Daphnia pulex: one gene and its partner. The protein of the gene in region 2 interacts with the protein of the main gene of each other region in a pairwise test. Links are inferred from orthologs where the notes say so. Each region holds a gene or a part of one and is shown on either strand. Other genes may lie near its edges.

Region 1 (3,874 bases), on a different chromosome or scaffold from region 2:
TTAATGTTGACTATACTGATTGAATCAAAAACCCTTATCAGTGTAATTACATTAGTTACGCGTTAGGTTAGGGGCACTATGTTTGTAGTAAGGATCGCATACGATTTTGACAGCTACTACAGCGCACGCTATATTTAGGCTTGAAGTGCCACTCACATTCTTCACTGCCTGACAGGCAATCGCTGACTCTCGAGTAGGTAATAGGAGCATGGTACCGAAAGAAGTTAGCGATCGATACAACTCCCAGACATGGAGGCCGAAAGTGTGTTGGTGTTTGGTTTCCTACGTATAAGAAGGACGACAAAGATAGAGTTATTGTATGAGTGGGTTTGAGTATGAAGGGGCCATAGACCCCCGAAAGAAAAGTATCGATCCGTCCAGTGAGACGTCAGCCGAAACAACCTTCACTCAAGTGTAAATGTACGTGAGGGTATTTTGTATGGTAAGACAGAATTATGGATGGACATCTCGCAGCCAAGGAGGAAAAAAGGAGTCGAAAGTTGCCATGTTAATTTACTTGGAATGCCCATATCAATTTATATTTCAGTCAATGAAGACGAGCGAGTAGGTGGTTATCCCGGTTTCCCCAGGAATAAAACATGTTCAAAACGCATTCCATCAGGGAAAGGAAGAGGAATAGGAAAGAAAAAAAAAATACAGCCCAGTTAAAGAAGATGTTGAAGGAGAGACTACAAAACAGCGACAATTAATCCCAAATGGACTGAAAGCTGTACACGACAATGGAACACACCAAGTTGCAAGGCGGACAAATTGTTGCTTTAATAAATCAGTAACGCAGTAGACACACAATTCAATTAAAAAGAAGATTTAAGAAAGACATTACGAACAAGCAAAATGAAAAAAAAAGGGAAAAAAGAAAACAAGAATTTAAATGAAATCAAATCCGAGAGTAGAGTAGAGGTGGGTAACGGAAGGAAACTAAATTTTCGTGTGTTTTTGGATGCCCCTGTCTCAACGGATATGAAGGGATGGAGTGTCTAGTAGAATTCTGTCGTTTAATCAATGATACAGCGTCACAGCAGGACCCCCTATTTGAGCGTTGGTGCGCCAAGAAACAGGGGAAGAGACGAACTATCCCTGGAGCTAATAAAACTTGATAAATAACTTGGATATGTTGGTGTAGAGGTAAACACAAAATATTACTTTTCAACAGCATTTGCTTTTCTTTGTCGGTTTTCTTCCTTTGCCGACAGTGATTGTGTCGTTCGCGTTGCTGGCCTGCTCCTTTTGTTCTTTTTTCGTGAGTAAAACTTGCTGGGTAATGGCATTAAACATTTCCTCCACATTCTTGTTGTCTTTGGCGCTCGTCTCGAAGAGTTGTATACCCATCTGGCTAGCAAACCTCTGAGCATCTTCAGTTAAGACCACTTTCCTGTCAGGCATATCATCTTTGTTGCCAACTAGATAGAAAAAAAAAAGAGTTAAAAGATTTATCATGTGTTGTTATAACTCTTATTTTACCTAATATTCGGTTGACAACATCACAATTCTGTTCTATTTCATGCAACCACCTTTTTACATTTGCAAAGGATTCTCCACTACTGACGTCATACACTACAATTACACCATGAGTTCCTCTGTAGTACCTGTAAGGGAAAATGTGATAAGTTTTAATGCATCTCAATAAACGAAACTGAATTGTATATATTACGTTGATGTAATGGTTCGAAACCTTTCCTGTAACAAGGGAAAAATAAGAAGATAATTGTAAGTACCATACATATTTAGTTTTTTCAACATGAACATACTTGTCCCGCAGTGTCCCAGATTTGTAATTTGACACGTTCACCATTGAGTAATATGGTCCTAATTTTAAAGTCCACACCTATTGTTGTAATATAGTTTCCAGAAAAGGTGTTGTCTGCAAAACGGAGCAATAGAGAGCTTTTGCCAACACCTAAAACAGCAAAGTAATGTGTTATAAGAATTTCTGTGCTTGGAATGCAATATGGGCTGTATTTACCACTGTCACCAATTATAAGCAATTTGAAGAGATGATCATAATCTCTGGCCATTTTTGATAAGGTAAAACCACAACACACTTATAGTTTTTCAACAAGGCCTGAGTTTAAGGTATTTAAGAAGACACCGGGAGAACCTTATTCAACATTTTTATCAAATAGCTTTTCTTTTAAGGGTGATGATCTGTATGAGCACAACGAGCGCCAAAGTTTCGCCGACCGGTCACACTGAATTACTTGCTCGCGTTGTGTACACAATCGAAAGTGTGTCACCAATTACTTGCGAGAAAATAAATCACTTGATGATGATCTTATCCGAAACAAAAAAAACCGTAACTCGTTACTTTTTCGTACTTGCACCAACGTTAATCGAACATGTACCCACCCCCTTTATCCGTTGTTACTCACTTCACACCAGCCGAAAAAATTGGTACAGGACTATTTCATGGAGAGACGTTGCCAAACCATCCAAAGAAAATTGTCACGCACAAAACCCCTCCCCTCCTTTCCTCTCTACACTTATTCACAGGTGATTAATATGAGCTGTACTACTTTTATTATCTTTGTAATCTGATTCTGATGTGATAGTTTGTTCAAATAAACTGGTCATGCTTGCTTACTACACTGTATGCATCAAATAACAAATTCTAAATGATCAAATAAAACACCGTGCAAGAAAGACTTTGTACTCCCTCTAATAGAGGAAAACTGAAAAGGTCTATAAAAAGGTCAAAGCGCGACCCTTGTTCCGTAATTGTTGGTTTAATACTATAAAATTATTTTAAAAAACGCGAAAAGTAAGCAAACACTTGAATTTGATCAATAAACACGTTGTAGCATCGAAGTTTGGATAAACGGAAAGTCGGAAACATATTAAAAACGGGAGCCGCGCAGGGGATCCGGATACAAGTAATTATTTTCACTAGTAAATATGGTATCAAGCTCTTTCAAAATTTTGTTTTATTGAAATTAAGGACACAAGTATTTTTGTTCTTAAGTAATTATGGACTGTTGTATTTAAAATTTTTAATAATTTGGGCTTTAAGTAATTCATGCAACGTGTATTTAGTCAAATACTCGCTAGTAATTATGGTCACCAGTAATTAAAATTATGTTCACAAATAATAGGTTCTATTAGTACAATTGTTCGTAAGTCACTAGCAACGACTTAAGTAATTATATTCTTAAGTAATTGTTTTCTTAAGAAATTATTTTCTTAAGTAATTATTCTCACAAGTAACTATTTTCTTAAGTAATTATTATCTTATGTATTTACACGGTGTAAACACTTTTATTATTTTGTATTTAGAGAATTAAAGTGAAACGTCATTTATTGATTGCGTTATTGCGTAGGCTCAGGTTGCGTACAAACTTTTACGCGTTTGCAGTTTTAAGAACGCGCCTGGAAATTACATCAACAGTTTCGAGTTGTCTGCTTGTCACTTGTCAGTTTGTTTTTTTCCAAAAGTCAGACAAGAGTTAATTGCTGGTTAATTGAGGCTCAAAAGTCAAAATAGGCGTTGTTTGTGAAAAATATTTTGTCTTTGGTAACATATTTTCTTTCTTTATAAGTAAATGTAAGTTAACATTTGTGTAAAAATGTTTGTTTATTCTGTCTATTTATTAAGAATCAAATTGTTACACCAGTTAAAGGAAACAGGAGTTTATCATCAGAAGAGATTAAGCATTATCATTCATCAGTACTACAACCAGGTGGTATTGGATGTCAAATGAATTTTAGAATGCTTCCCTCCAGGTAGCAATAATATTTCTTTTATGTATATTTTCTATTCTTAAAATTTCGTTATCCGCCTAGGTATTAATGAAAATATTCAAGCAGACCTCAAAGTAAAAGTCACAGAGCTGATAATAAGAGTTCTGATAGCAAATGA
Region 2 (4,302 bases):
TGCTGAACAATCACAACAGCGGTCGTTTCCGGCCACTGCTAAAATGTCCGATAAAATTTTATCTCTACTACTTTCCCTGATTAAAAAAAAAATGATTAAATATTTATACCGCAATTGCAGCCATTTTTAAATACTTGGATGTGTTGGCGCTATCAGTGGTAGAGTGGCTAGAGTTTTGACTGTCTTTAGCATTGCTCCTAGGTGACTCGTTGCTGGCCAGACTCTGCCCCGAACTACTCCGACTGCTCAGCATCAATTGCATGGCCGCACCTATCTCATCTTGGATAGCTTGGATCCATACCTGGAACATCTCTTCGGAATCCGCTTGCAGAACGTGAGACCTGTGCAATGTCATCCGACATTTTGAATAATTAATCAAAGCTGCGAGGTGTCTTGACTGCAAATTTTACTTGGTGGGTGAAATGACTTCAAAGCAATTACGGCGATCAATGTCAACCAACGGTCGGACGGAGCAAAGTTTCAAGTCTTGCTCCATGATTGTGCCTTCTCGGTCACCTGATCAAAGGATATCTATTGATTAAGAGAATACCTGACACAAAAAAATAACGTTAGTGTTATTGCTTGGGTACCTGTCCTTTTCCGGTAAATCAATTGACTGGAGCAAATGGCGAACCACCGTCTATTCCACGTTTTGAATGGACTCGTCGTACGCTTAAACAGATATCCTTCCATACGGGTTCCGTTCAGCGTCTCGGATTTCAACATGGGTACTAAATCCTTTGATGTGACTACACTGTGCCGGTTTCCCAACTCTCTTTCTAGCGCGTTGGTCTCTTCTCGTAACTGCGTCACCTGTAATTAACACGCCAAAGCGTTGCAGGATCAAACCGGTTTTTAAGTACGTGTGGCAAGCGTTAGATCTCACTTCTGATCCAATGTTTTTCATGAACGGATCGGTATCTTGGAAAAGGTCCGATCCTTGGTGAAAGAATGTGCTCTGGGCGTGCATGTAGGAAAGTAACTATGGAACCAATCAACGTTTCAGCTCAGTGCTAATGTCAAAATGAATGCTTAAAAATATTCTTACTGGATCAAGAATTTCATGGCGTTTTTTCGACTGCACTAAACTGATAGTGTACAAATGGTCCAGCGCTGTGTAACGGAAGCAACTACGAGTGGCGATCAACACGTTTGACGTTTCGTCCACTCCACTTGTGGTCATTAAACCTGTTTGACAAATGGTTCGTATTACACTTCATAAACCTATGCCGCTTATTACTCGGTTCCAATAGTTTTTATCAGTAAAAGATAGCGAAAGATAAGGCTACATAGTCTGCATACCCTGGTGTGTGGAGGACAGCGTGCTGGCGGCTAGTACAGTATTCGCCGAGCCAGATGCGGTAACACCTTGGTTCTTGTTGGAATTCTTCGGAGCTTGAGCATGTCGAGCGAGCGCTGTGTCGAGATCGGCCGAGATCTTGTCAAAGTGTTGCCGACTGTCCTTGACTTGTTTCAAATCCCTACAGCAGAGAAATAAAGTGTTGCTTATGATTGCTTTTTATTTACTTTTCTGTTTACGCTGAAGAATAACTCACTTTTTTAGGAAATTATTAAGTGATCTAGAAACCGATCTGCTGGTTTGATCAATCAGAATTGAGTGATATTTGATGGTCTCTTGCAGTGAATTGGCAACTTTATTTAAAGCCTGGGAGACGGCTGGATCTCCTTTGAAATGCAAGCTCACTTGTAACATGCTCTGCACAAGATTACTAGGAAAAGAGAGTTATGGTAAAATCTATAGATTTGATAAAACTAATTCATTTGAAAATCAAATTACTTTTGGAAGCCCAAATAGGTTTTCCCTGCATCAATTGTTAAGTTGCAGTTTTTCAAAACCTGTGAACAATTCAGAATTATTATCAAATGAAATAAAATAGCTAATAACAAGAGGCTACTTGCTTTTTCAAGTTTAATTTCCAGATCATCTAAATTTGCATGATTTTCTTCCAGAGCATCTCTAAAAATAGAAAAATATAGTAGTGATACAGCTTTGTGACTTGTTTAAATATTAAAAACGTTATACCTAAACTTTGGGGAATCCCTCATACACTCTTCATAACTGTAGGATTCAGAAATGCATTCATTAATAAGTAAATTGTTCTACATGTATTAATAGTAATGATAATGACATACGAGATTATGGGTTTCATGTTGATTGAAAGACTGATGAAAGCTCAGATCTCGATGTGGTAAACTGCTATTCTGAGGGTGATGTGGGTTTAGTGATTATGATGATGAAACGTAACAACCTAGAAGTGAAAGCAATATTGAAAACTAAAACTAATCACAATACTAAATATTATAAGAGCAGCTTACCAAAATATTGACTTAAAAGCCAACAGTTTTTCTAACAGATTAAGTAAAAATACTACAGCATAGTTGGCATTACATGTGTGTTGTTTCCCTTGGTGATGTCAAGCTCGATGTTTAGGAATTGAAGAAAAGAACACAACAGTGGGCCATCATTGACAGAGTGAAACTGCAACCAAACAATATCACCGTTCTCCTCCTCCTTCCTACAGGATGACGTATATCCTCTTCTGTGAAATCTTGTGTCGCAATCCAATTCGTTGAGTTGGCACGTAAATAATCGCAGCCGTAGGCTTTTTTTTTTAAAGGCGAGTTCACACAAACAGGCTTGCACTCCCACTCACTAGCAATGGATGACAACTTTTCGACACACAGTATGTCAGTTGGCAAATCTCCTTTTTTTAATTTTTAACGAAAGGAAGGGGAAAAAACGAACGTCAAAACATTAAGGTACTGCTAAACGGCAACTCGACAGTGGCCAATCGACTTGCAGATTAGAAAACGAGTACAAACGGGTGCAGCAGCAGCTCTTCTTATATTCAAAATGGATATTACGTGTTTTGTGAAAGTAAACAAAATGTGGGACATTAACCTACAAACAGGCGTAAAGTAAAACGACTCAACACTGTTTGCAGTGTACAGATAGTACACGCGTAGAAACGACGGTTGAACAAATAATCCCCCTACTACTGTTTGCTGCAGGAGATTCAATATTAAATAGCTAATAGGATTTTACTCTTGACTGCACAAGGAAAATACTGAAAAAAACCCAGTAATTTATGTCCGTTTGTCTCGTCCCAATTCACCTGTGTGTCTTGCATCGTATAAACCGTGACGCATACCAAAGTACACAGACGTGTGCACAATATACGTAGTTTATGGCGCTCGGTGAAACTTATTTACCTGAATTGCGGTTGTTGTCTCAATGAATTATATTTTAAAAGTATTGAAATAAATGCGATTTAATGAGACGCAGCCATTTAAAACCATACAAAACTCGAATTAAAATTATTTGAAATGATATGACAAGAAATAAGCTCGGATGAGGACTTGCAGAGGCAAGTCCGCAGGACTCGGGAGATAAATAGGCGACACGGTTTTTTATCTGTATTGCCTTGATTGTCTATTATCGAAGATTCAACATGTCAAACGATCAATCAAACTCCAGCGACGAGTCGGCCAATGAAAATCTGAATCCCGTTTCCAACATGGAGGATAACGACGAACCGACTGCTCACGTAATAACCGACGATGAATCAGCTGAAATGGCAAATCCCACGTCCAGCCTTTCAACTGACGATCTACCTGACGATCTACCTGCTGTGAATGACCCGACGGTGAATGATGAACCTGCCATTCCCTCCGGAAGTTCCGGTCCCCAACACCAACCGATGAATTACGACCACGGTGAATGCGCCATTTGCATGAGTCCCCAAACGGACAAATCACGACTCGATTGCGGCCACGTCTTTTGTTTCGACTGTCTGGTCAGCTGGTGCCGCGTCAAGTTGGAGTGCCCGACATGCAGGCAACCGTTCAGCCAATTCGTTCACAACATCACTTCGGGATCGTCCCAGGGCGAAGTTTTCACACCCGTCCGTCCTCCCGCACCACCAAGACGGAGAATGGTATTTCGTGCTTTTTCGGTGTACGATGGAAGTCGTTGGGTCACCTTGAACGATGGAAATGGTGGGTTACCCTTGAACGATGAAGCCTTCCACCGATTCATGGTGGCAATGTTATTTCCTGGAATCAATCTGCTCAGTACCGATGATCAGCCCGACCCACCCAACGATCCTTCCAACGACTTGGACTAAACGTTTCGAATCATTTCCCTGACATTTTTACGAGACATTCAATTTCAATATCAATTCATTCGGAAATACAAAATAAAATCAAGTTCTCATTTGTCTTCTTATTTTTAAAACAAAACACATTGACACTAATTGAAACACATTTTGCGGGTATACA

Evidence for each region.
Region 1: the proteins of arf-GAP with coiled-coil, ANK repeat and PH domain-containing protein 2-like (region 2) and ras-related protein Rab-35-like interact in a two-hybrid assay, tested with the Caenorhabditis elegans proteins (2 studies listed by BioGRID). The link is inferred for Daphnia pulex from reciprocal best matches to the Caenorhabditis elegans genes cnt-1 and rab-35.

Annotation. Positions count from the first base shown.
Region 1 is NC_060021.1:11,607,437-11,611,310, forward strand, and holds ras-related protein Rab-35-like, read right to left. Parts: upstream 2,449-3,874; 5' UTR 2,368-2,448; exon of another isoform or gene 2,293-2,367; 5' UTR 2,037-2,292; coding exon 1,985-2,036; intron 1,919-1,984; coding exon 1,770-1,918; intron 1,699-1,769; coding exon 1,673-1,698; intron 1,608-1,672; coding exon 1,483-1,607; intron 1,422-1,482; coding exon 1,168-1,421; 3' UTR 1,165-1,167; intron 1,105-1,164; 3' UTR 509-1,104; downstream 1-508.
Region 2 is NC_060027.1:578,566-582,867, reverse strand, and holds the start of arf-GAP with coiled-coil, ANK repeat and PH domain-containing protein 2-like, read right to left. Parts: upstream 2,806-4,302; 5' UTR 2,338-2,805; intron 2,271-2,337; 5' UTR 2,172-2,270; coding exon 2,155-2,171; intron 2,081-2,154; coding exon 2,045-2,080; intron 1,979-2,044; coding exon 1,921-1,978; intron 1,858-1,920; coding exon 1,799-1,857; intron 1,731-1,798; coding exon 1,557-1,730; intron 1,482-1,556; coding exon 1,303-1,481; intron 1,189-1,302; coding exon 1,049-1,188; intron 983-1,048; coding exon 887-982; intron 814-886; coding exon 591-813; intron 517-590; coding exon 411-516; intron 342-410; coding exon 135-341; intron 77-134; coding exon 1-76. Other genes in the region: RING-H2 finger protein ATL64-like, read left to right, coding at 3,474-4,148. UniProt on the Caenorhabditis elegans protein: GTPase-activating protein for the ADP ribosylation factor family. Regulates endosome recycling downstream of rab-10 and upstream of arf-6.